Linked DNA regions of Xenopus tropicalis. The protein of the gene in region 4 interacts with the protein of the main gene of each other region in a pairwise test. Links are inferred from orthologs where the notes say so. Each region holds a gene or a part of one and is shown on either strand. Other genes may lie near its edges.

What was found.
Region 1: the proteins of tax1bp1 (region 4) and cxxc1 interact in binary tests that used the Homo sapiens proteins (3 or more experiments, as listed by UniProt). The two-hybrid records come from large-scale screens. The link is inferred for Xenopus tropicalis from reciprocal best matches to the Homo sapiens genes TAX1BP1 and CXXC1.
Region 2: the proteins of tax1bp1 (region 4) and lgals8 interact in binary tests that used the Homo sapiens proteins (3 or more experiments, as listed by UniProt). The link is inferred for Xenopus tropicalis from reciprocal best matches to the Homo sapiens genes TAX1BP1 and LGALS8.
Region 3: the proteins of tax1bp1 (region 4) and gabarapl2 interact in binary tests that used the Homo sapiens proteins (3 or more experiments, as listed by UniProt). The link is inferred for Xenopus tropicalis from reciprocal best matches to the Homo sapiens genes TAX1BP1 and GABARAPL2.
Region 5: the proteins of tax1bp1 (region 4) and plekhn1 interact in binary tests that used the Homo sapiens proteins (3 or more experiments, as listed by UniProt). The two-hybrid records come from large-scale screens. The link is inferred for Xenopus tropicalis from reciprocal best matches to the Homo sapiens genes TAX1BP1 and PLEKHN1.
Region 6: the proteins of tax1bp1 (region 4) and dazap2 interact in binary tests that used the Homo sapiens proteins (3 or more experiments, as listed by UniProt). The two-hybrid records come from large-scale screens. The link is inferred for Xenopus tropicalis from reciprocal best matches to the Homo sapiens genes TAX1BP1 and DAZAP2.
Region 7: the proteins of tax1bp1 (region 4) and map1lc3c interact in binary tests that used the Homo sapiens proteins (3 or more experiments, as listed by UniProt). The link is inferred for Xenopus tropicalis from reciprocal best matches to the Homo sapiens genes TAX1BP1 and MAP1LC3C.

What each region holds. Positions count from the first base shown.
Region 1 is NC_030684.2:1,159,330-1,162,829, reverse strand, and holds part of cxxc1 (CXXC-type zinc finger protein 1), read right to left. Parts: intron 1,764-3,500; coding exon 1,654-1,763; intron 1,489-1,653; coding exon 1,388-1,488; intron 33-1,387; coding exon 1-32. UniProt on the Homo sapiens protein: Transcriptional activator that exhibits a unique DNA binding specificity for CpG unmethylated motifs with a preference for CpGG.
Region 2 is NC_030681.2:41,520,835-41,525,125, forward strand, and holds the start of lgals8 (galectin-8), read right to left. Parts: upstream 2,801-4,291; 5' UTR 2,785-2,800; coding exon 2,773-2,784; intron 1-2,772.
Region 3 is NC_030680.2:64,266,742-64,270,791, reverse strand, and holds the start of gabarapl2 (gamma-aminobutyric acid receptor-associated protein-like 2), read right to left. Parts: upstream 2,801-4,050; 5' UTR 2,792-2,800; coding exon 2,758-2,791; intron 132-2,757; coding exon 76-131; intron 1-75. UniProt on the Homo sapiens protein: Ubiquitin-like modifier involved in intra-Golgi traffic. Modulates intra-Golgi transport through coupling between NSF activity and SNAREs activation. It first stimulates the ATPase activity of NSF which in turn stimulates the association with GOSR1.
Region 4 is NC_030682.2:42,559,769-42,563,268, reverse strand, and holds part of tax1bp1 (tax1-binding protein 1 homolog), read right to left. Parts: intron 1,894-3,500; coding exon 1,775-1,893; intron 1-1,774.
Region 5 is NC_030683.2:88,900,561-88,904,597, forward strand, and holds the start of plekhn1 (pleckstrin homology domain-containing family N member 1), read right to left. Parts: upstream 2,801-4,037; 5' UTR 2,713-2,800; coding exon 2,627-2,712; intron 1-2,626. UniProt on the Homo sapiens protein: Controls the stability of the leptin mRNA harboring an AU-rich element (ARE) in its 3' UTR, in cooperation with the RNA stabilizer ELAVL1.
Region 6 is NC_030678.2:142,300,601-142,304,844, reverse strand, and holds the start of dazap2 (DAZ-associated protein 2), read right to left. Parts: upstream 2,801-4,244; 5' UTR 2,764-2,800; coding exon 2,751-2,763; intron 1-2,750. UniProt on the Homo sapiens protein: In unstressed cells, promotes SIAH1-mediated polyubiquitination and degradation of the serine/threonine-protein kinase HIPK2, probably by acting as a loading factor that potentiates complex formation between HIPK2 and ubiquitin ligase SIAH1.
Region 7 is NC_030681.2:57,421,675-57,424,404, reverse strand, and holds the end of map1lc3c (microtubule-associated proteins 1A/1B light chain 3C), read left to right. Parts: intron 1-1,103; coding exon 1,104-1,263; 3' UTR 1,264-2,230; downstream 2,231-2,730.

The DNA.
Region 1 (3,500 bases), on a different chromosome or scaffold from region 4:
TCTGTATTTGATCTCAAGGTGCGGGTGTTTGTCTGGCACGTGGGCAAAAGGCACACCTTTATATATTTCTACTGCCTCTAACCCCCACCGGAACTGCCCCCCACATCCCCCGCCCCTACCGGCCTCTAACCCCCACCGGAACTGCCCCCCACATCCCCCGCCCCTACCGGCCTCTAACCCCCACCGGAACTGCCCCCCACATCCCCCGCCCCTACCGGCCTCTAACCCCACCGGGAAACTGCCCCACACATCCCCCGCCCCTACCGGCCTCTAACCCCACCGGAACTGCCCCCCACATCCCCCCGCCCCTACCGGCCTCTAACCCCCACCGGAACTGCCCCCCACATCCCCCGCCCCTACCGGCCTCTAACCCCCACCGGAACTGCCCCCCACATCCCCCGCCCCTACCGGCCTCTAACCCCCACCGGAACTGCCCCCCACATCCCCCGCCCCTACCGGCCTCTAACCCCACCGGAACTGCCCCCCACATCCCCCGCCCCTACCGGCCTCTAACCCCCACCGGAACTGCCCCCCACATCCCCCGCCCCTACCGGCCTCTAACCCCCACCGGAACTGCCCCCACATCCCCCGCCCCTACCGGCCTCTAACCCCACCGGAACTGCCCCCCACATCCCCCGCCCCTACCGGCCTCTAACCCCCACCGGAACTGCCCCCACATCCCCCGCCCCTACCGGCCTCTAACCCCACCGGAAATTGCCCCCCACATCCCCCGCCCCTACCGGCCTCTAACCCCACCGGAACTGCCCCCCACATCCCCCGCCCTACCGGCCCTCTTAACCCCCCACCGGAACTGCCCCCCACATCCCCCGCCCCTACCGGCCTCTAACCCCCACCGGAACTGCCCCCCACATCCCCCGCACCTTACCGGCCTCTAACCCCCCACCGGAACTGCCCCCCACATCCCCCGCCCCTACCGGCCCTCTAATCCCCACCGGAACTGCCCCCACATCCCCCGCCCCTACCGGCCTCTAACCCCCACCGGAACTGCCCCCACATCCCCCGCCCCCTACCGAGCCCTCTAACCCCCACCGGAACTGCCCCCCACATCCCCCGCCCCTACCGGCCTCTAACCCCCACCGGAACTGCCCCACATCCCCGCCCCTACCGGCCTCTAACCCCCACCGGAACTGCCCCCACATCCCCCGCCCCTACGGCCTCTAACCCCCACCCGGAACTGCCTCCCACACCCCCGCCCCTACCGGCCTCTAACCCCCCACCGGAACTGCCCCCACACATCCCCCGCCCCTACCGGCCTCTAACCCCCACCGGAACTGCCCCCCACATCCCCCGCCCTACCGGCCTCTAACCCCCACCGGAACTGCCTCCCACACCCCCCGCCCCTGCCATAATGCCCCTTGGTGCTTACCTCGGCATTGCACGCAGTACCACTCTCGTATGGCCTTTGCCATCTTCTCGGTGATGTTGATGCAGTGCCCGTGGAACCATTCGTTACAGTTGTCACAGCCGCTGCCGAGAGACAAACCAGGATAGAGATCAGGCTGCAGTGGGCACGGTGTCAGCTTAGGGGCATTATATGGGCTGTTAGTGGCATTAACGCCCCCCCTGGCTAGATGAGGGGTGCATGTTGCTATGGAATGACCCCCCCCCCAATCACACACGTGTATTTCTCACATCATGAAGCAGTTGATATCCGGCTTTCGGCAGATACAATACACCGGGGCGTTCTCTCCATCCTCCGTGTCCCCGGCCGCAGTCAGGTCCGCGTCTGAAAATTCACTCTCCTGGGGCAACAAAGAACCCCCCCATCAGTAACTGCCACAGTGGCTGTGCCCTATCCCCACTACTATTTGTACTAAGGGGATCAGGAAGGGAAATGTGCCTGTTGCAACATGGGGAGGGGGGGGTCCTATTCCTCATAGATTGTGAGCTTCTGAGTATCATTCCTTCCCATGGGCAGAGTGTCTTTACCCTTTCCATCTCTTGCTTCTACCCTAAAAGGTGCCAGGCTGGCATAGTATAACCCCCTGTTCCCGTGGGGCCCATTAGTACAATGCTGGGGGGGCAGTGCCAGTGTGACACAGTATAACCCCCTGTACCCGTGGGGCCCATTAGTACAATGCTGGGGGGCAGTGCCAGTGTGACACAGTATAACCCCTGTACCGTGGGGCCCATTAGTACACATGCTGGGGGGCAGTGCCAGTGTGACCAGTATAACCCCTGTACCCGTGGGGCCCATTAGTACAATGCTGGGGGGGCAGTGCCAGTGTGACACAGTATAACCCCCTGTACCCGTGGGGCCCATTAGTACAATGCTGGGGGCAGTGCCAGTGTGACACAGTATAACCCCCTGTACCCGTGGGGCCCATTAGTACAATGCTGGGGGGGCAGTGCCAGTGTGACACAGTATAACCCCCTGTACCCGTGGGGCCCATTAGTACAATGCTGGGGGGGCAGTGCCAGTGTGACACAGTATAACCCCCTGTACCCGTGGGGCCCATTAGTACAATGCTGGGGGGCAGTGCCAGTGTGACACAGTATAACCCCCTGTACCCGTGGGGCCCATTAGTACAATGCTGGGGGGGCAGTGCCAGTGTGACACAGTATAACCCCCTGTACCCGTGGGGCCCATTAGTACAATGCTGGGGGGCAGTGCCAGTGTGACACAGTATAACCCCCTGTACCCGTGGGGCCCATTAGTACAATGCTGGGGGGCAGTGCCAGTGTGACACAGTATAACCCCCTGTACCGTGGGGCCCATTAGTACAATGCTGGGGGGCAGTGCCAGTGTGACACAGTATAACCCCTGTACCTGTGGGGCCCATTAGTACAATGCTGGGGGGCAGTGCCAGTGTGACACAGTATAACCCCTGTACCTGTGGGGCCCATTAGTACAATGCTGGGGGGGCAGTGCCAGTGTGACACAGTATAACCCCCTGTACCCGTGGGGCCCATTAGTACAATGCTGGGGGGGCAGTGCCAGTGTGACACAGTATAACCCCCTGTACCCTGTGGGGCCCATTAGTACAATGCTGGGGGCAGTGCCAGTGTGACACAGTATAACCCCTGTACCTGTGGGGCCCATTAGTACAATGCTGGGGGGCAGTGCCAGTGTGACACAGTATAACCCCTGTACCCGTGGGGCCCATTAGTACAATGCTGGGGGGGCAGTGCCAGTGTGACACAGTATAACCCCCTGTACCCGTGGGGCCCATTAGTACAATGCTGGGGGGCAGTGCCAGTGTGACACAGTATAACCCCCTGTACCCGTGGGGCCCATTAGTACAATGCTGGGGGGGGCAGTGCCAGTGTGACACAGTATAACCCCCTGTACCCGTGGGGCCCATTAGTACAATGCTGGGGGGCAGTGCCAGTGTGACACAGTATAACCCCCTGTACCGTGGGGCCCATTAGTACAATGCTGGGGGGCAGTGCCAGTGTGACACAGTATAACCCCCTGTTCCCGTGGGGCCCATTAGTACAATGCTGGGGGGGCAGTGCCAGTGTGACACAGTATAACC
Region 2 (4,291 bases), on a different chromosome or scaffold from region 4:
CCCTCCCCCCCTCTGTTGAGACTGTTTTGGCTTGCAGAACATCAAACATTCCTTACTCAGGGTGAGCCTTTTATAGGTAGAGTCATAAAAACTCACCCACGTTCTATTCATTCCTATGGGATTTTTAGAAGCGTGTTTATCAATGGGTGAAAGTTAGAATTCACCATTTGATAAATATGCTTCTAAAAATCCCACAGGAATAAATAGAACGTGGGTGAGTTTTTTGGATTAAGCTCTAAACTCACATTTTGATAAATCTGCCCCATATGTCTAAATGTAAGACTTTCAGCTATTCTATATTTTGGTTAGGGGCCCTGCATAAACCTAACAGAATGCAACTGCATACCTCCCAACATTTGAAAAATGAAAATAGGGACAAAAAGATTTGGTGCGCGCAGCGCGGCAAATTTTTTTGGCCACGCCCCAATTACCACACCCCATTTTTAAAAAAAATACTCCTTTTATATAGATGAAATGGCGGGATCAGACGCAAATGTGCTATACCCTCATACTGTACTACCTAAGGAAAACCAATATAGCAACTCCTACATATAAAATACAAATATAGAGAGAAGGCAGTCAGTTATAAGTGAGTTATAACTATGTATCAGCTTTGCCCCCCATACACAGTGCCCCCATACACAGTAGCCCCCCATACACAGGTGCCCCCCATACACAGTAGCCCCCCCATACACAGGTGCCCCCCCCCATACACAGTTGCCCCCTATACTCAGTAGCCCCCATGCACAGTATCCCCCCAATACACAGAGCCTCCATACATGCTGCTGCTGCTGCTTCTTCTTCTGCAGCGGCTCCTATATACAGGTCCTTTTCAAAAAATTAGCATATTGTGATAAAGTTCATTATTTTCTGTAATGTACTGATAAACATTAGACTTTCATATATTTTAGATTCATTACACACAACTGAAGTAGTTCAAGCCTTTTCTTGTTTTAATATTGATGATTGTGGCATACAGCTCATGAAAACCCAAAATTCCTATCTCAAAAAATTAGCATATCATGAAAAGGTTCTCTAAACGAGCTATTAACCTAATCATCTGAATCAACAAATTAACTCTAAAAACCTGCAAAAGATTCCTGAGGCTTTTAAAAACTCCCAGCCTGGTTCATTACTCAAAACCGCAATCATGGGTAAGACTGCCGACCTGACTGCTGTCCAGAAGGCCATCATTGACACCCTCAAGCAAGAGGGTAAGACACAAAAAGAAATTTCTGAACAAATAGGCTGTTCCCAGAGTGCTGTATCAAGGCACCTCAGTGGGAAGTCTGTGGGAAGGAAAAAGTGTGGCAGAAAACGCTGCACAACGAGAAGAGGTGACTGGGCCCTGAGGAAGATTGTGGAGAAGGACCGATTCCTGACCTTGGGGGACCTGCGGAAGCAGTGGACTGAGTCTGGAGTAGAAACATCCAGAGCCACCGTGTACAGGCGTGTGCAGGAAATGGGCTACAGGTGCTGCATTCCCCAGGTCAAGCCACTTTTGAACCAGAAACAGCGGCAGAAGCGCCTGACCTGGGCTACAGAGAAGCAGCACTGGACTGTTGCTCAGTGGTCCAAAGTATGTCATTCGGAAATCAAGGTGCCAGAGTCTGGAGGAAGACTGGGGAGAGGGAAATGCCAAAATGCCTGAAGTCCAGTGTCAAGTACCCACAGTCAGTGATGGTCTGGGGTGCCATGTCAGCTGCTGGTGTTGGTCCACTGTGTTTTATCAAGGGCAGGGTCAATGCAGCTAGCTATCAGGAGATTTTGGAGCACTTCATGCTTCCATCTGCTGAAAAGCTTTATGGAGATGAAGATTTCATTTTTCAGCATGACCTGGCACCTGCTCACAGTGCCAAAACCACTGGTAAATGGTTTACTGACCATGGTATTACTGTGCTCAATTGGCCTGCCAACTCTCCTGACCTAAACCCCATAGAGAATCTGTGGGATATTGTGAAGAGAAAGTTGAGAGACACAAGACCCAACACTCTGGATGAGCTTAAGGCCGCTATTGAAGCATCCTGGGCCTCCATAACACCTGAGCAGTGCCACAGGCTGATTGCCTCCATGCCACGCTTCATTGAAGCAGTCATTTCTGCAAAAGGATTCCCGACCAAGTACTGAGTGCATAACTGAACATAATTATTTAAAGGTTGACTTTTTTTGTATTAAAAACACTTTTCTTTTATTGGGCGGATGAAATATGCTAATTTTTTGAGATAGGAATTTTGGGTTTTCATGAGCTGTATGCCACAATCATCAATATTAAAACAAGAAAAGGCTTGAACTACTTCAGTTGTGTGTAATGAATCTAAAATATATGAAAGTCTAATGTTTATCAGTACATTACAGAAAATAATGAACTTTATCACAATATGCTAATTTTTTGAAAAGGACCTGTATATGCGGCTCCTTGTTCGGCGGAGCCAGGCCCTTTTATAAGGGCATGGGCGCAACCTTATAAAAGGGCCTGGCACCGCCGAACAAGGAGCCGCATATAGAGAGGACCCTCTGCAGAAGAAGAACGCCTGACTACAGCCAGCGCATCCCGCTGTCAGGGATAGTTCCATGAATGTCCCGCATTACGGAAATGCGAGACATTCATGGAACTATCCGGGACAGCGGGATGCGCTACCAAAACCGGGACTGTCCCACGGAAAGCGGGCCAGTTGGGCGGTATGATTTCTTGCCATATTAACAAGGCCTAAGGTTCTCAGACTTATAAGGGCCCCTTTAAAATGTCTGCTATATTTTATGAATGAGCGATACCTTCCCCTGCATGCTGTGCTCTGCCAGAGATTCCCAGGAGTGAGAGATATATGTTAGGGGTGGGAAGGTGAAACTGCCCAGCACACAAATAAACACAGCAGCCTCTTCTGCCTGATAAAAGACAGAGCCCCCTCAGCCCCTGACCCACTGAGCAGGAGAGGAATGCAGCCAAAGCCAATAGTTAACCCTTGCCTGTCACAAATGCTCCTCCCAGGACGATTAAACATCAAGGTAAGGCTGTGAGCTTGAGTGTAGCAGGGGAGATTGAAGAGTTAAGGGGGCGGGCTTTATTCCCCAGAGCAGAGCAGGCACAGCAATCAATTAAATGGCAATGCTAAAAAGCGGGACATCTAACAGTGAATCCGGGACAGCGGGAAGTGCCATAAATATCGGGACAGTCCCCCTGAAAGCAGGACGGTTGGGAGGTATGCAACTGCTCTCTTTAAGAATTCACTTTAGTCATTCCGTAATACACACTCAGTGAGTGCCACTAGCAACAACACTAATGGCACAAGTACAATATGAAATAGGAAGCACTTCCGGTATATCAATTCACATTTCACCCACCTTTTCAGCACAGGTACCGACAAGATTCTATCGTGGTACAGTGGCAAAGAATAAATTCCATACACTTCCGGGTTTTCAAAGCGCCCACACCGTCCTCCAAGGAAGGCCACGCCTATTGTCACTATCTCATTATTTGATTGGCTTATCCATCGCCAGTCATCACATTCCTGCCCAGCGAAAGTGTTCCTTCATAATGAAAGTGTTTAGTCACATGAGCAGGCTGGGAGATCATGTGACAGTTGGCAGTTCGCTGTGCTTGCTCTGTGTTGTGCTGGGTCATTCGCAATGGTAGTGCGGGATGAGGGATCGTAGTCGCAAAAGAAGTGGTCGCAGCTATTTCAGCACGATTTTAAGAGGGAACCGCTATATGTTATAAGGGCGCAAGATGCAGGGGTTACCGAGAGATGACTAGTTGATTGGTTGGGAAACTGCACCGATTACTCCAGAATGAAAATAATAATAATAAAGTAGCGTAAAATGCAACCAAATGTGTGTGCTTTGAACAGTGAGACATTTTGGGAGAACTTATGGGTGCCCAAAGGGACAGTTGGGGGTGCAACCTGTAAATGTTTATGTTGAATAACATGGGTGCATACCTCCCAGCTTTCAGGGGGACTGTCCCGATATTTATGGCACTTCCCGCTGTCCCGGATTCACTGTTAGATGTCCCGCTTCTCAGCATTGCCATTTAATTGATTGCTGTGCCTGCTCTGCTCCGGGAATAAAGCCCCGCCCCCTTAACTCTTCAATCTCCCCTGCTACACTCAAGCTCACAGCCTTACCTTGATGTTTAATTGTCCTGGGAGGAGCATTTGTGACAGGCAAGGGTTAACTATTGGCTTTGGCTGCATTCCTCTCCTGCTCAGTGGGTCAGGGGCTGAGGGGGCTCTGGCTTTTATCAGGCAGAAGAGGCTGCTGTGTTTATTTGTGTGCTGGGCAGTTTCACCTTCCC
Region 3 (4,050 bases), on a different chromosome or scaffold from region 4:
TGTAGCTTTCATAACAACAATTACAGTCTGAATAGGTAATCATTCAAAAAAGAAAAGCAAAATAAAAGAGGTTACCGGAACCCGATCTGGATACTTGGCTCTGATTTTTGCGGACTCCACACACCTGTGTTCTGAAATAGGAAAATTTAGGAATGTTATTTTAAAAAAAAGTATTTGTGCTTATAGTATTCAGTATCATTTTCACTTTGTTTACTTCCTTACCGTCAACAGCAGCCCATTCATGTCTTATGAGTAATATATCTATATAATGAGCTACTTGTTTTTGTACTATTTATAGCTGGCTACGAACGGGCTTCAGGGCCTTCTGTATGCAGGAAATCAACATGCAGATCATGTGGTGGGCGACATTTACAGCAAAGATACCTATTTCTAGCCAGGAACATATACCGGTAGTTCACTGACACTCAGCTCTCCACACTGACATGTTTCATTCTTGATTGGGACATTAATGTGTTGTTCATTAATATTACAGGAAAATACTGTAAATTGGTGTTAACTACAGTAAAGTTATGGGATCCGTTACCCTCAAACTCATTCTTTAGAAAGTACCAAATTACGGTAATCTCCTTTAGACTCTATTTAAAGGACATGCAAAGCCTACATTTGCCTACAATGTACATCAGTTGGGCACGTCTCCCCCACCCAAATGGCATTATTTGTACAGCATGTATCCCCTCCACTTGCCAGCACCATCACATTTTCCTAAAGCAAACAGCAGTTTTCACCCGGTGGCCATTTTTCCTCTGATACATAATGAGTTACATTTAAATCTGCAAACAGCAGACACAGACCCTTATTCAGCATACATTTCATCAAGAATACAGGTTCTGATAAAAGTTCTGCTTTGTTTGAGCACTGTAATGGTAAAGCTGAGCTCAGGAGAAAAAAACTGAAGCAGCCAGCTAGAGCTGAGTTTCTATGGGAACCAGCAATGCCATCTCTTCACTGGTTGCTAGACTGGAGGGCATGTTTAGTAATCTGAGTTTAGAACAACTGAGCATGCCCACAAGCCAGAAATTAAAGCAAATTCCTGAGGGAGGGGGCTGAGTGGATTACAGGAGGAGAAGGAAATATAAGTGTTTATGGAGATGTTGCAGCCTTACTATTAACCTCTGGACAACCAGAGTGGCAGGTATTGAAAGATTTCAAAGAGGCTGTTTGTGCGGGGTTTACATGTCCTTTAAGGCAAATAATTTATTTTTTAAAAACGATTTCTATTTTCCCTGCGATAATAAAACAGTACCTTGTACTTGATCCCAACTAAAGATGTTCTATTGGTTAAAATAAAATTGGATTTTTTCTTTACAAGTGGCAGGTGTGCTTGCTGTTTCTGCTTATCCTTGCACTTCCCCTACAGCTATGGGTTGGGAATAATGCAACCAGGCCACTCAAAAATAACTGCGAGTGCACTCTATTCCTAAATTATTTGAAATTAATTTGTATCGGCTGGCCTGTGAGATTGGGACCTGGGGTTTATATACACGGGACAATCACTTCATCAGGTAATCTGATTCCCATGTCTAGCCCAGGGTTGTACACATCCAGGCTATGGAATATTCATGGTCAGCACTTATTAGTTTATTTTGAGAACTGAGCCGCACTTAGATTGATTGCTTGATCCCAACATATCATATTGGGTTTATTTCATATTTAAAAGATTTTTTAGTTGACTTTAGGTATTAAGATCCAAATAACAGAAAGACCCCTTTTCCAGAAAACCCCCAGTCACAAGCATTCTGGATAATAGGCTCAACACATGTATGGGTTCTTGCTATGCTAAACACAAATGGTGCACAAAGATAAAAACAAACCAATCCTCAAGTCCTTTATGGAAAAACTTTTTCATATTTTGTTTTTTTAAGACAGGCCTTTGCAAGGACACTATAGGTATTCTTTGGTGTTCCACAAGTAAAATAAAAAGAATACATTTTTCTTTATTCCCCCCAACAGCTGAGCTGGTAAAGCAAAGCTGGAAGTAGTTGTGTAATTTAGTACCAATGGTTGTAAAAAAAAACAATATAGAGTAGAAAGGGATGTGTGGTCAGGAAAGTTAAAAGCAAAAACAAGCATATGAGTGACAAGGTGGAGCAAACATACCATAACCTTTGGTAAGCAGTTAGGTATTTGTTGTTAAATATTACACATAGGATATATACTGATAAACATTACTGAATATAGCTGCACCCATTTGGTGACCATATAAAATAGTGTAGAGGCAATTTTGCTGTTTTTTGTTCAAACTGACCTAACCACCATTTCAATGCAATTACTGCCACTTGGACCTATTTACAATCTGATGTCTCATGACAAGAGTTTTACAAAAACTGCAGCATTTGGAGCTCAAAGCACAATTCCATGGGCTCTAGGGAATGTTATTATAGATGTGACTGAGAAACTGAAGTTGATGAGATCACGGTTGATTAATGAGAAAAAAAGGGCCAGGGTTTATATGTTTTTATCTTTCAGAGAGATAAACACACTAATGGTAAAATAAGGTTAGAGGACAAAGCCTGGGAGGGTACAGTCAGTACCAACAAACAAACTGCGGGGGATGGGAATAGTCGCTACTAGATGGAAGGGCAGCGCTACGAGGTGTAGCCTGTGCCTATAGGGCGGGGGCGATGAAGGTGGGCTAGCAGCGACCGCTTTAGAGTATACAGAGGTAACTTCAGGTAGTGTTGCCAGATTAGTACAGTAAAGGTAATGGGCTACCCCCCGAACTTTCCCCGTTCTCACCCAGCGAATGGTCTTCCTTGAACATCCACTTCATGGTACCGACAGATGACAGCGACGACAATAACAATAAGGCGGAGTCTCCCGATGACGACACTTCCGGGTCAGGGCGCCCTGGGGTTTCCAGTACCTCCCATTATGGTTAATAATAAGCACATGGGAGGGGTTTCGTCGGCTAAAACAGGAGCAAAACAAAAACGTATTTTCCGTGGGGTTATAGGGGTTAAGCTGATGCTGAACTGTAGTGATCAGTCGCACAGTAATGTTTAGCAGCAATCAGCTTATTCTTCGTGAAAAATATCATAGCGACTTAACCCTAGAGGTTCCTCTGGTTATTTTGAATGCGAAATATTTGTGTATGAAAGTCATCTCCTATTTATCCTCCACAGAGATGACAACTAACCCTGTGTAAATGGGGTAATAATGTTGCAATCATGAATGTTTCTTGTTTTTATTTTTTTTTGTTAACCAAGCATTGGAGCAAGGGAACTTTGGAACTTGAGTGGGCATTTACTAAACGTTTCTGAGATTTATTATGTGACAAAACTGACAATTCCAAATGTGAAAAACACTCCTGCTAAAACCTTTCAATATACAGAAGTCAGTGGCAGATGTTCCTTTTACAACTGAAAGATCTTGCTTTGCTTCCTGGTTTTTGGGGGGTTTTGTCACTGATATTTTTGTAACAAGTCAAAAAAGTTGCGGTTATTATGCGAAAAGTCAAAAAAGCTGTGGTTTTTGCGACTTTTTCCAGTTCAGATCTTTTTATAAATGACAGGAAATGAGTTTATTCATGGTTTCTTTAAAATAAAAATAAATGTTTTAGTAACCACCCCTTAGATGACACTGTCATTTATATATACTTGCTTGTTTATTTTCGATGTAAGTCGGTTTGCCTGACGCAAAAGAAAGATAGAGAGCGCACACCTGAATAAGTATTATGATAAGGTGACCAGATTTTGAAAATGAAATCCGGGGTTAACGTAATACAAAATTTTTGTTTTGTGCCACACCCACTTAATGTCACGCCCACAAATGTCAGCCTCTGTATAGTTCCTCAGCTGCACTATAAATGTATGTGTAACCCCTATTTGGCTGTAAAAACAGGCAGCGCCGGCTAGAATGGCTTTAGATCATGGTGTACATAGGGCCCTACACGTCAGATGGGCTTTTGCTAAGTGGAAATATCCTTGGATATAACTGTAACTCACTTATGTTGTTTTCAAAGTAATTGGAAAGAATGGACACCAGAAGGTTCTTGCTAATGAAACAAACAGTAACTGATTTATTTGTCCT
Region 4 (3,500 bases):
ATGAAGACCAATTGCATATTGTCTTAGAATATTATTCTCTAAATCATAATGAAAGTTAACTCAAAGGTGAACAGCCCCTCTAACTTTTATTACGATGTAGAGTGAGATAGACAATTGCACTGCAATTAATTTTAGCACTCATGCAGTGGTTTGAATGAGAGACTGTAATCTGAATAGGAATGGATCTGAATAGAAAAATATGTTATTCAAAGCAGAGTATGGCACACACAGGCAGGGTAGGGCAGGCAGGGTATGGCACACAGAGGCAGCGTAGGGCAGACAGAGTATGGCACACACAGGCAGGGTAGGGCAGGCAGAGTATGGCACACACAGGCAGGGTAGGGCAGGCAGGGTAGGGCAGGCAGAGTATGGCACACACAGGCAGGGTAGGGCAGGCAGGGTAGGGCAGGCAGAGTATGGCACACACAGGCAGCATAGGGCAGGCAGAGTATGGCACACACAGGCAGGGTAGGGCAGGTAGAGTATGGCACACACAGGCAGCGTAGGGCAGGCAGAGTATGGCACACAGGCAGCGTAGGGCCGGCAGAGTAAGGCACACACAGGTAGGGTAGGGCAGGCAGAGTATGGCACACACAGGTAGGGTAGGGCAGGCAGAGTATGGCACACAGGCAGCGTAGGGCAGGCAGAGTAAGGCACACACAGGCAGCATAGGGCAGGCAGAGTATGGCACACACAGGCAGGGTAGGGCAGGCAGAGTATGGCACACACAGGCAGGGTAGGGCAGGCAGGGTAGGGCACACACAGGAAGGGTAGGGCAGGCAGAGTATGGCACACACAGGTAGGGTAGGGCAGGCAGAGTATGGCACACACAGGCAGGGTAGGGCAGGCAGAGTATGGCACACACAGGCAGGGTAGGGCAGGCAGAGTATGGCACACACAGGCAGGGTAGGGCAGGCAGAGTATGGCACACACAGGCAGGGTAGGGCAGGCAGAGTATGGCACACATAGGCAGGGTAGGGCAGGCAGAGTATGGCACACACAGGCAGGGTAGGGCAGGCAGAGTATGGCACACAAGCAGCGTAGGGCAGGCAGAGTAAGGCACACACAGGCAGCATAGGGCAGGCAGAGTATGGCACACACAGGCAGGGTAGGGCAGGCAGAGTATGGCACACACAGGCAGCGTAGGGCAGGAAGAATATGGCACACAGGCAGCGTAGGGCAGGCAGAGTATGGCACACACAGGCAGCGTAGGGCAGGCAGAGTATGGCACACACAGGCAGTGTAGGACAGGCAGAGTATGGCACACAGGCAGCATAGGGCAGGCAGAGTATGGCACACACAGGCAGCATTGGGCAGGCAGAGTATGGCACACACAGGCTGGGTAGGGCTGGCAGAGTATGGCATACATAGGGCAGGTAAAGTATGAAACAGGCAGGGTAGAGCAGGGCAGGCAGAGTATGGAAGGAGACCGGGAAACCTATCATGTTTATGTAAGTAATTAATCATGATCACTCCAACATCAACAGTTTGTACTGAAGTTCATATGGTGACACAATACCACCACTGCTCCTACAGTTTGTATGAAGTGTGAACAATGTGGGAGCCTACAGTCTGAGGTCTTACAGGTGAGTACAATTCATGGGCTCATAGGTGTGAACAATACAGAGTGGTACAGGTGTGAATAATAAAGGGAATTGCAGGTGTGAACAATACAGGGGATTAAAGCCTGAATGTGTGGCGTGAACAATGCAGGGGGCCAGTTAATCTCAGAATATAAAAAAGGTATTGTTTTAGCAAATAATATTACACTTACAGCCAGCATTTGCTTACACTTGCGATATTTTTCTGTTTTTTCAGCCATTTCTAAGCTCATTTCCCGCACTTGCTCTCTAATGTCAAATTCAGGTAAAGAATCAGAAGTAAACGGACTCACTGGAGGAGAAACACAAAAGCCATCCATTAGATTTCTTTCAAACACATTATTAAAAAACTAAATAATGTTTTCACAAACATATATTACTGTAAGTGTTTAGTCATGAAGCATCTTTAATCTGTTAGAGATACATTTTAGTTGTACTCATGTTATGAATAAAGAGCAGGCAAGTGGTTAGGTGACCATTCTGTGATGATAAAAGCTGTTTAGTTAAAGTCCTGTGCTGTTGCCAGCTAAATAGCTCCTATATAGCCACAACCTGCTACCAGACCCATGAGGGTTTGAGCTAACTGCGGTTTGTTTGCAAAGCTTAAGAAAAGGATGACTCTTGGCTCCTGCAAAACAATCTTTATTGGTGCCCCTGTGCTTTCCTGAGTCAGAATGTGGAGTTTAATACTGTAAAATAGTCTGAACTAAAGTACAAAGAGTTAGGGATCTAGAGCATCCAGTTATTGTTCATTGCACCTCATTCTCTGTTTACATGCCATCTAAAATGTTGTTTATACATGTTCAACAAAGCCTGGCAACTGCTCTCTGCCTACTTGGTTTAAACACACTGCTTCAGTCTCAGGATAGACAATTCTTTACTACTCCGTAGAACTTCTAGTAACAAGGGGCTTTGCCTGCTATGTTTTTTAGTGTTCAAATACATAGGGGCAAATCAACCTCCACCTCCTAAAGGTGATAGAATAAGCCTGGGGATGGCTGGGAAACACTGATGCAGCTGGATGAAGAGCTGGTGCTAACGCTTTTAGATGATTGCTCTAGGTGCTATTTTGGAAATATTACATTTAGAAATCATCTTAAAACCATTAAAATGTTTAATCAATGGATATTGATCACTATAATTTATATGCAGATACCCAAATATACCTTTCTTCCCCAGACCTGCCCTCGCTCCTAGCTCGTGTCTCCAACTGTCTAACCGCAATTTCTGCATTCATGTCCTCTCACCACCTAAAAATCAACATGGACAAAACTTATCTGGTCATCTTCCCACCCTCCAACTCCGTTTCCCTGCCTGACAAAAATATTAATATAACCCCAGTTCCACAAGCTCGCTGTCTAGGAGTCACATTTGACTCTGCTCTCTCTCGGTTCAACCTCAAAAACATTGCACGCATTCGACCTTTCCTCACTCATGAGGCCAAAATTCTCATCCACGCCCTTGTCATATCTCGCTTAGACTACTGCAACTCACTGTTCCCCACTCCAATCCATCATGAACAGTGCTGCCAGACTCATACACCTCTCCTACCGCTCCACAAGTGCTGTCCCTCTCTGACAATCCTTGCACTGGCTATCTCTCACGTACAGGATTCATTTCAAGATTCTTGTACTCACCTTCAAAGCACTCATTGGCCGTACCACTCTATTTAACCACCCTAATCACCAAGTACACCCCCAAACGCAACCTTCGCTCCACACATGACCTCCTTCTCTGCTCCTCACTCATCACCTCCTCTCACTCTCGCATCCAGGACTTCTCATGTGCTGCACCCATTCTCTGGAACGCTCTTCCCCATCCCATTAGGCACTGCCAGACTCTCCAAGCCTTTAAACGGTCTCTTAAAACTCACCTTTTCACTGAAGCCTATAACCTAAA
Region 5 (4,037 bases), on a different chromosome or scaffold from region 4:
TACACAACACTAAAATTCTATCGGCCATCTAGGAATATCCAGTGCTCCAATGTTTCCCTACTTGGCCTTCAGGCTGAAATTCCAAGAATATCTAAAACAGCAAATAAGCATTCACCCTAACTAGCCTTCAGACTGCCCCCACAACCAATGCCTTGGGTTACCTGGGGGCAGCACAACAGTTTGTGAATTTATGAGCTAATCTGAGCTTTATTAGATAGAGAAGCCCCTGAACAAAATTTTAGCTATTCCCTTTCTACATTTAATGATTTTTGATTGTCACTATGATGCAGGGAATTGTATGCCAGTCTATGTAGAAGTAACTGAGCAGGAGAGGAGATGTGATTTACCCAATGCTTGCTATAAAGACTTTAAACCCAGAACTGCACAGCAGCAGTAGGCACGCCAAAATCTCTCCGGCTCTGTGCCTGCCAGGGCAAGCCATATTCTGCTGGCTGGACAGAATTCCATGTCTTTCTGCGCAGTCTCATGCTTCTGATTAAATACTGCACAGATAAACCTCACCTATGTCTCAGCACGAAACTCATGTTCAGAAAGTAGGGCACAGTCAATTAAAAGAGCCTTGTAACTAAATGCCATTAGCAAAGAGAAATAAATGAACCATTTCAGATCAGAGTTTGCAAAGACTATTTATATAAGCAAGAGCATCTCTACAAAGAATGTATCTTTCTACTATGCATTTATAAAGGGAAACTAATTTTCTCATTGTATGCTGCTGCTTATATCAACCAAACATAAGAACCTCTGTGACACTGGTAGATGAATACAGAGGACCAGTAACGCAAAAAACATAAATGTCTTATATACATTAGTATGTAAAGCTCAATACTACACACACAAAAAAATGAAAAACATGAAAAGAAAAATGGGACAGCTCCATGACATCATTTTTTATGTACAGGAAAAGTACATAAAATGTAACAAAAATGTTGCATAAATGCATATGGTGTTCTTCATAACCAGTTGTGGAATTAGCACCTCTAGTGGCCATTTCTGTTGTTTTGTCTCTTGGCCACTACAACTGATTGAAATGATCTGCAGTGTACACTAAAGCAGTCTATATGTTTAGAACTGACACCAAGAGGATGATCGTAGACCTAGGAGAGCTGTAGTTCAGTATTTGATGACATCTACATGTGCAAAAAGCAACTTTTGATTTCTGTGAAAAACCTACTAATAGTTAACACCATAAATTCCTTATTCTAAATACCCATCCCTCCATCAGATTGTGTCTCATAGATATCGCAAATGAAACAGTCCCAAGTGGACATTTGATAAAAACCATGCACAGTCACCCAAGCCAACAAGGAAACATGTAGACTTCGCTTAACTGTGATTGTATTAATATAATATAATTAAGGAAAACTATTCCCCCATCTCTACATTAATTATACAATCTCTTGGTGGGGGAAGGACTTCTGCCCTAGGGTGTTAACTGTAAACCACTATTCATTGTGCCTGAAACTCAATTACAAACTTTTGACATGGTAAATATGTTATCTCCCCTAACACCAAAATGCCCAGTAACCTTTTCATCCAGATCAGGTCATGCTGTGCAGGATCCCTTTACTGTAAGTCACTTAGGAAATAATCACATCTTCCAGGTCTCATGGTATGTATGTTATATTCAACAAAAACAAACTCTGCAGTAGCACAAATAAAAGAAAACTTTATGAGACCAACTCAAATGGCCACTATAACTACATTTCTAATAGATCTGTTGTAATAAAAGCAAGGAAGATCTCACATTCTACTCCTTGGGACACAGAGCAAGTATAGATCATTTAGTATCCCACCCCCCAATGCCTCAGGCACATAACTGCAAGCTTTATTTGATAAACATACAGGTTTAGGGTGAATTATCTTGAGAGTTCTGAAATATGGGAATGTTATTTTCCACAGAGTCCTATTCAACCTAACAATCTTACTTTTGTCTGATATCCTTTTTCTCTGTAATTCTAAAACAACGCCTTGTAAATCCATCTTGGTTACAAACAATCCTATTAAGACAACCCTGGTCCTATAGATATATATTGTCCTCTATGTTTTGTGTTTTATAGTAAACTCAAGGAACGGTGCTCCACATTATAGAAACAGCCCTTCCTCTTCTCCAGGAAACTACGGCTCCCAAGCATCCCATATAATAAATCTCAAACATGTACCTAGTTTCTATATGCAGCACTGGAAAACCAGTTAGATAATGAGATCTAATAATATTATCAGGGTACCTATGAAACTGATCACTAAAACAGCCTCCTGTATTTCTCCTGGCAGCTGCCAGCACTGCAAACACCACATGCCCAAAGCATTACCCCCCTTGGCTCCTTCCAAAGCAATGAAGCACATGGCCACCGCTTCTAAAAATATGCAAGGGACACAAAGTCCAATGTACACCGTATCATATACATTGCCCAGTTTTCTGCAGGCAGCCTCCCTCTCTTAAACAGAATTACTGCAGTATTAGTAAATGAATATCCCAGGAGCACATACACACATTCCATAAATAACATACATTCTCCACTTGTTCCACTATAAACGGGTTCTTTCAGGTATATTTATATACAACAGCGTTTGAGAGTATGAAGCATACTGGGTTCCATAGACTTACTCTTTGCCCTGCTGCCAGGAGTTCTTCCTGCTAAGAGAGTATCTGATGTGGCGATGCGGCTGCGGGACACAGCTCAGGTTCCCCATCCTGTTCCCTCGAAGTCTTTAGTGAGACTGAATTGCCTGTGTGCTGGGAGCGCTCACCTCACCCCTCGCTTCCGCCAGCATGGGGACGAGTGGGTGTTACCGGGCTGTGAGTAAACACGGCAAGCGACCTTACAATACAAGTTATGCAAAACGTGTTGGGGAATGTGTGACACATTGTGGGATGGGGTGTCCCATTCATTCTTCCTTATCTCATTTGTCTGAGGGTTACCAGTGGTTGTATCAGAGAGAAATAGTAGATTTTACGTCTGAGGTGATGCAGGGCATAGTTATGACACAATAAATCACAATTTATGTCATTGTTGCCTTAATATAGTGTCGTTTTCTATGTTGTATCTCAGAGTCTCTAAATAGCTGAGGTAATCATACTAGTGTGTATATTAAGATATGATACAAATTCAAATAAAGTGTTAAAAAGTATTTATTTGTTAATTTTTTCAACTTATTTGTTCCCATTGTGCCAAATTTAGAGTAGGGTGGTAAATCTACTTTAGTGTTTGTATAGTTACTTTTGTGCAGGGGTACTTATGATGGGGGATTAGTTAGGTTAGTTGTGGCTTCATATAGTTGCCAAAAATGAACCATTTTCCAATGATAAGCATAGCTGTAAATATCCTGCCAATTATTGGCTGTCCCACTTGATACTGTTTTTTGGGTGGCTTCTAAGGGCTGAGACACACGGGGAGATTAGTCACCGCATGACAAATCTTCCTTTTCACAGGCGACTAATCTCCGTAAAATGCCATCCCACCGGCTTCAATGTAAATCACCAGTGGGATGGCATACGCAGCGCCGCGATTTGCCGAAGTCGCGGAAGTTTCCTCTCAAGGCAACTTCCACGATCTCCGCAAATCGCGGTGCCACACATGCCATCCCACCGCCGATTTAGAATCTAGCCGGTGGGATGGCATTTCGGTAGATTAGTCACCCGCAACAAGGGAGATTTGATGTGCGGCGACTAATCTCCCTGTCTGTCACAGCCCTAAGGGTGAAGACACATGGAGCTACTAGTAGCTGCTACTTGTAGTGGCTACTAAAATAGACAATGCTAATCATTTACTGATAACAGTCTCAGCATGTCTTTTAACAGAGGCAATTCTCAGTATTGTCTATTGTCTATGGCAGGGTATTTTTTGGAATTTAGTAGCCATGAAAAAGCAGCTGCTACTAGTAGCTCCATGTATCTTCACCCTAAGGGCAAACACACACAGCTACTTAGTAGCAGCTACTTGTCATGGCTACATCAGAAAATACTCTTCCATAGACAATACTGAGAATTGCCTCTGCTAAAACACACATAGAGACAA
Region 6 (4,244 bases), on a different chromosome or scaffold from region 4:
CAAGATTGCATAACAGAAAAAAATTAGTTTTCACACAAACAGAAATTTTGACAACTGCAAAATTTGGGAAAACTGGAGATAAATATTAATATACCAATTAAAATTCAATTTGGCTTATAATCAGACTCATCTAATCAATTTGACTTGGGATTTGGGAGATGATGGAAAACAATATTTAATCAGCCTAAAGGAAACACAGAGAATCCAATAGTCTTTATAGTCTGCATATGTTTGTGTTGTATTGCTTACCTACCAAGGTTACCAAAATCCTTCAATGATATTCTGGCCTCTGAGTAACTATTTGAACTTTTCAGGTCAGTCACTCAGAGGCCATCATTAAAGAATGCTAGACTTCATGCTTAAAGATTTTGTGGTGTACTTTTTATTTCTAAATTACACTGTTTAGCAAATAATTCACTCTGCCATTTAAAATTTTATTCTTGGATCAACATGTATTTTTTTTAGTTGTAATTCTGGTGTGTAGGCGCCATCTCAGTGCATAGTGTCTCAGTCTGAGCTTTCAGAAGGAGCCAGCGCTACGCATTAGAACTGCTTTCAGGTAACCTATTGTTTCTCATACTCCCATGTAACTGGAGGGGGCCCAACCCGGACTTGGATTTCTTACTATTGAGTGCTATTCTGATACCAACTGGGAGCTGCTATCTTGCTCCCTTCCCATTGTTCTGCTGATCAGCTGCTGGGAGGGGGGTGATATCACTCCAACTTGCAGCTCATTAAGAATATGGCTAGCTCATGGGTGACCAGACCTTTTCCGTCTGTGATCGACGATGACCGGGGAATGCGGAAGTGCAGCGTGAATGCGTACTGCTGCCTCCAGGCATGCCCAGAAGGCTCTCCAGGTCAACTACAGGTAGTCGAATTGAAGAGAGAACTGAACAGGAAGTGGGGGCGGGGCTTTACTCTGCACAAGGAAGCAAAGAAAAACTATCAACTTCTAACTGAGGAACCAGGTCAGAAAGAATGCTGGGACAAAGGTAGGTAATTCTGGAGGCTGTTTAGAGTAATTTTACTGATAGAAAAAAAAGGTTTACTTATTCTTTAACCTAAAGTTATGAACAAAGTAGCACTCTAATTTGCTCAGCAGAAATAATCAAAGATAAAAAGACAAAATACTATTCTTTACCCATAACAAGTTCAAAATAGGCAGAACATTTTTGGTTCTAGACTAGAACAATAAAATCAAAAGCACTGTAAAACTTCAAGTCTCAAGTATGAGATTCTCAAGAATGTCACTCTGAATAGGCAGAAACATTGGGAAGACCTTGAGAATCATTAGAGAACAACCCCCTCTGCAATGAAAAAGTTAAACAAGTATTATGACATTCTTTCATAAAGTCATCCATATAATAATTTATTTGATGCAATCTCCTCTTTTTGCTGCTAAAATGGGCGAGGAATTCCTCTTTGTTAAAACTGCAAATTGTTTTTGCACCTTATCAAATGTATATTTATGAAGCTATTCTGAAGGAGAAGGAAGCTCAACACCCCAAGCAGTGAAGCGATATGGAGTGGCTGATATTTGTCCATGCACAGGTGTGCAGCAGCATTAAATTGGGCACAGTTCCACAATGACAATCTGTGATTCTGGCAAATGCCAGAGGGGCTGCTGTAAGATACCATAGACCAGGAGTCCCCAGCCTTTTTTAAAAGTGAGCCACATTCAAATATAAAAAGAGTAGGGGAGCAACACAAGCACTATGGCTATTTGGTAGTCTCTATGTGGACTGGCAACCTACAGGAGGCTCTGTTTTTTTATGCAATCCAAATTTGACTTCAATCCAAAAATATGCACCTGCTTTGATGCCACTGGAAGCAACAGGGAAGGGGATGGGGAGCAACATGCTGTATGTGAGCCTCTGGGGATCACTGATATAGACAGGCACTATTTATTGGGGGTTGTGTAGGGGGGCTGTTTGGGCCTCTGTGTATTTAAAAAGCCAGGGCCTGGTTTAAATCCCAGTCCAAGTCTGATTAGACAATGTTTCCAGTGCAGTACTAAACTCTACTACAAATGTACTTTGTTACTGGATTACTGCTCTTCAGTAGCAGAGTTCTTGTTAATTCAAGAGTGCCATGCACAAATACCATCAGCCTGAAGCCTGGCATGGTTGATGATAGATTGGTAAATATAGGTTGTAAGTGCTGGATTTACTTGGATGGGTTGGACTTGATGGACTCTGGTGTTTTTTCAACCCTATGTAACTATGGTACTATAGTTGCCGACTGGCCTACTTAGTGATCCATTTGCCACTAAATCCTTTATAAAGCGCTGGAATGGAAGGCAAATGACACGTCCGATGTTCCTTAGCGAGGCACATACACAAGGAGTTACACAATCCCTGCCTTACACGGTCAGAGCGGTGCGCACACAAGCAGGACGGAGCCGGAGCTGGTTACCAAGGTATAAACGTATTCTATAATACGTCCGAATTCCTAATATTTATATATATATATTCACTCGCTCAGTGACTAATAGAGCCCGCCCCTAGAATATACCCACCCAAACCATATACTTCCTAATAATAATAAGCAGAGGGACTCGGTTATAGAGTAAGTCCCAGCAGGGCCCCAAATCACTGGTATCAGTGACATCATAACGCCTTGCAGCAGCAGCAGCTCCGCCAGGTCGCAGTCTCAATCCCAAGGTGCATCCTGATCAGGACAAACAGCCCTAGCAAGCGCAAAGCACAGTGAAGTTGCCGCTGAGCTCCGGAGGGGCCATTACTTGCCTTTATTATTCATTGCCCCGGGTTCACGTCTCTTGCTCGATCTGTATTTTCTCTGTGTTGTTGTGGGAGATGATTCCACTTCCGCTTCTATCTACTTCCTTGTTGTGTTTTTTCACTCTACGCAGATACGAAAGCGCATTCCTGCTGAGCAGCGCCCCCTACCTGCACTTTCATTTTGCGCGGCTTTATTGCAGGCTGCAGCTTTTGGCTTGCCTAAACACGCATTTTGCTTTTCATAGACCCAAGGAATGGTACAACTTATGGTTATAATTAGCCCATTAGGTAACATAGTAGCTGCTTTACTGGAAATGAGTAAAATTTTCTTGCTTTTGTATCAACAGATTTTTACCATTTTGTATTAACACTGGTCTAGGATATCAATTTAGCTCTTTCCCTGTTGTCCAGGTTATGGGCTGTTTGTAAAAAAATTGCATTGTTGGGGAATGCATTTTTCTTGTAAACGTAGGTGCTATGTCATTGGTTGGCTGACACGTTTCTTTTCAGGTAAAGGGAAAGGCTTATGTCCCACGGAGTGGTTTAGTCGCCCACAATAGATCTGTGTTATCGCGGGTGACTGCCCTCTACGAAATGCCTATCCACCAGCCACGCCGGTAGAAAGCCATTGCTTGCATTGCTTCAGTTTTCATAAGTCACACAAAGATGCCTGCTGGAGGAAACTTTGTATGACTTTGGAATACCAAAGCCATGTGAAGGGCTTTTCACAAGCAACTCCTATTGTTGCCAGTGGAAATGCATTTTGGAACAGTTAGTTGCCTGCGATAGCAGAGATCTATTGCAGGTGACTAAACCGCTCAGTGGAACATCAGCCTTAGTCACTAGAGTCAATATATTAATATTACATGCATGCAGTATATAATGGAATTGGTATACATTGGGTAATGTAATAAAGGATGCAAAGTTCATCTGGGTCAATTAACCCATAGCAACCAGTCGGATTCTTGATTTTATATAGCTGACCAGTAAATTCTATCTGCTGATTGGTTGCAGTGGGTCACTAACCTAAAGCAAATTTCGCACCTTTTATTATATTGACCCCTTAACACCCAGATACTGACCCTCACTACTCTATGCTACTATTGGACCTGACAGGAACTGTAGCCCATGCAGTGCTAGAACCTAACTCACAACTCTCCTGTAATTTCTGTGTGTTTCCTTCTTATCATCACCTTTGCAAATAACCCCAATGCACTGGCCTTATTGGCTGGGACTTCTCTCCCCCAGCTGAAAAATTTTTACGTAACAAAGGTGTCTAGGAGCAGCACCTGCTGTAAAAATTGTGAATTTTTTTAAGGTTATTATTTTTCACCTTCACCTACTTAATTTATATTGAGAAAAAATACCCCTTATTGTAAAGGGATATTATAAGTCACTGAAGAGTTTCAATACTATGTAAAGGCACAATATTGCAAGAGCATCTTCCCTTTTGAATCAGTTTTGACTAACAGGAGGAGTCAGAAGTCAGGGGAAGATGGT
Region 7 (2,730 bases), on a different chromosome or scaffold from region 4:
AGTGTGGATCCAGTTTTGGCGGCGAATATGAAAAGTGGTAACCTAACTGAAGGGAACTGTTATTATAAAAAAACTCCTACTGAGAATTGGAACTGACGTGTGACAAGTAAAATTGTGATATTTATGATTGTACTGGTGTGACAAGAGTTAATAAAGTATTTGGGGATAGACAACAGCTCCCTGCACCTTTACTGGAGGAACTGTGACATAGGAAAGGACTCTTGGTGAGAGGAAGGCAAGTTGTTTTATTACTATGCTAACCAACTTGCACTTCTCCCATGCTCTCAGCATATCACGGTGATTACAGTACTGATTAATTGGCCTTCCAACCACTCAGTAAGTATTCTTTCTCTGCTTTGCCAAACCCGGCAAATCCACTACCATTCAGAATAAAATATGAACTAATAACCCTCACAATTAAAGCACTCCATAACTCTGCCCCACTTTACATCTCTGAACTCCTCTCCAGATACTTGCCAAACCATTTGCTATGCTGCTGTAATGACCTGCTCCTGATAACCTCTCTCATTACTTCCTCGCACCCTTGCATTCAATACTTTTGCAAGAGCTGTACCCCTTCTCTGGAATTCTCTACCATATTTTGTTGAATCTCTGTCTCTGAAAGATTTCTTGAAGGACAAGGAAAGGTTAAACAAAAAAAAAAAAAAAAAGTATAGCCATGGCATGTAGATATACTATGAAGGATTTCTCTTTAGGAGTTATTCAGAATGATTATTCACTTTTAAAATAAGTTAAAAGATGCTGTGGAAAGTTTATCTTCTGTACCAGAAATGAGCTGATTCAGGGTACATGCATGCACATTTAATCTCTCAGAAGCTATGGGCAGGTGCAGAAATGTATATTATTTTCCTATTCTATTCAGGGTGTCCTAATGCCTCCTGCTTTTAGAATGTAAGCTCCTTTGGGCAGGGCCCTCTTTACCCTTCATATTTGCTTTTGTATGTTAAATATAAACACCCATTTATTATACAGAATGTGAAGGCATTTTATAACATAACCACTATATTACTGTTACCATACTACTAATGATTCTTATTGGGTACAGAAAAAAATCTTTAAATGTGTGTTTTTTCTTTGTGCAGGAATCGCATGAACTTATCTGCTACACAAGCATTTTACCTTCTTGTGAATAACAAGAGCCTTGCCAGCATGTCACTTACGATGGCTGAGCTTTATAGGGACCATAAGGATGAAGATGGTTTCCTATATATGACATATGCATCTCAAGAGATGTTTGGTTGAATGCATATCACAAAAAAACGAGGACAATCTTTGTACTAAGAGGGGCCCAGATATGTACATGTGTAAATTCTAGACCCTAGTATTATATTATTATTTAAATTTACACCTTAAACATTTTTGGTCATTATTATAACATGGGCTGGAACTTAGAAGTATATGGCTATAGTGTACAATACTTTTTATTGAAATGTTTTCACTTAAAGGAACCTTTTATGTATGTTAAATATTTATTGAGCATCCTTTTAGAAAAGTCAAAAGATAATGCTTTTGTAAATTTATTGTAATAAAGGATTTAAAATATTTTATTTTTACAGAATTTTTTTGCAGATTCTATGTAGTACTAAACACAACTGTTTTCTCTAACTTAGAACAATTTTGTTTTTAGATAGACTTCCCCTTCACATGAAATAGTATTTGGGGTTATTGTGTATAACAGACTTTGCTCTGCACAGTATAAGTCAGTAGCTGCAGAAGCATAAAGTACTCTCTGCATAGAAAGGGCATTGACGGAATGCTTTTGCCTCTATATATTTCTTGTAAGACCTGGGCTTGGGTATGTATTGCAGCTTTGGGTACCACATCAAAATGTATATGTATTAATAACATGCAGCTAAAATTAATGGGCACGTGCTATTAGCAGAGAAGAGTTTGTTTTCTGTGGGGAAGAAGAATTTCTAAGAAGACACTTTTTTTAACACTGAAAAGAAAAAAAGAAGCCATCCCTTCTTTCACCTGAAGCAGTACAAATGGTTATTCACTGTTAGGACAGGGTGGGCTGTAAGGTTCCTAGGTTCTTTCTGGCTGTTTTTTTGTTTTTTTTTTTACTTCTGTATTTCCAATGTGCAATAGTGTATTTGTGTTTATGAAAAAACTCTGGCCAATCAAGAGGTTTTTGTTTTACATATATCACAAGAGGTTACTGCACAAAATCAGTCAGCCTAATGCTAAATAAAATCTCTTCATAAAATAACTACTGCCTTAATTTAACTGTGGAGGGTGTCAAAAATAGTTATTGTTAATTTACTGATTTGCCTATTTACCAATTAATCCAACACCTGGATATACTGCCTGATTATGTATGTATGTATGTGGGATAGCTTGGTTTGTATTGGCTATAAACAGGAACAGATCATAGTTAAATCTGGTTGAAAAAAAAACCCAAGTTCAAATCTTTCCATCGAACCCCAGCGCGCACACCTATACTGACCTATCTATACACTTGCATACATAAACTACAGTATATATACCAACATTAATACTAATTGCACATTTTAGTTTCCCAATAGCCTTGGATATTTTTGTTCAAGAACTCACCCAAGCCCTCCTTAAAAGCATTAAAAGAATCTGCCATCACATCACTAGGAAGGGCATTTCACAACCTCACCGTGAAAAACCACCTACGCTGCTTCAAATGGAAGTTCCGTTCCTCTAATATAAAGGGGTGATCTCTGGTGCACTGGTCCTTTT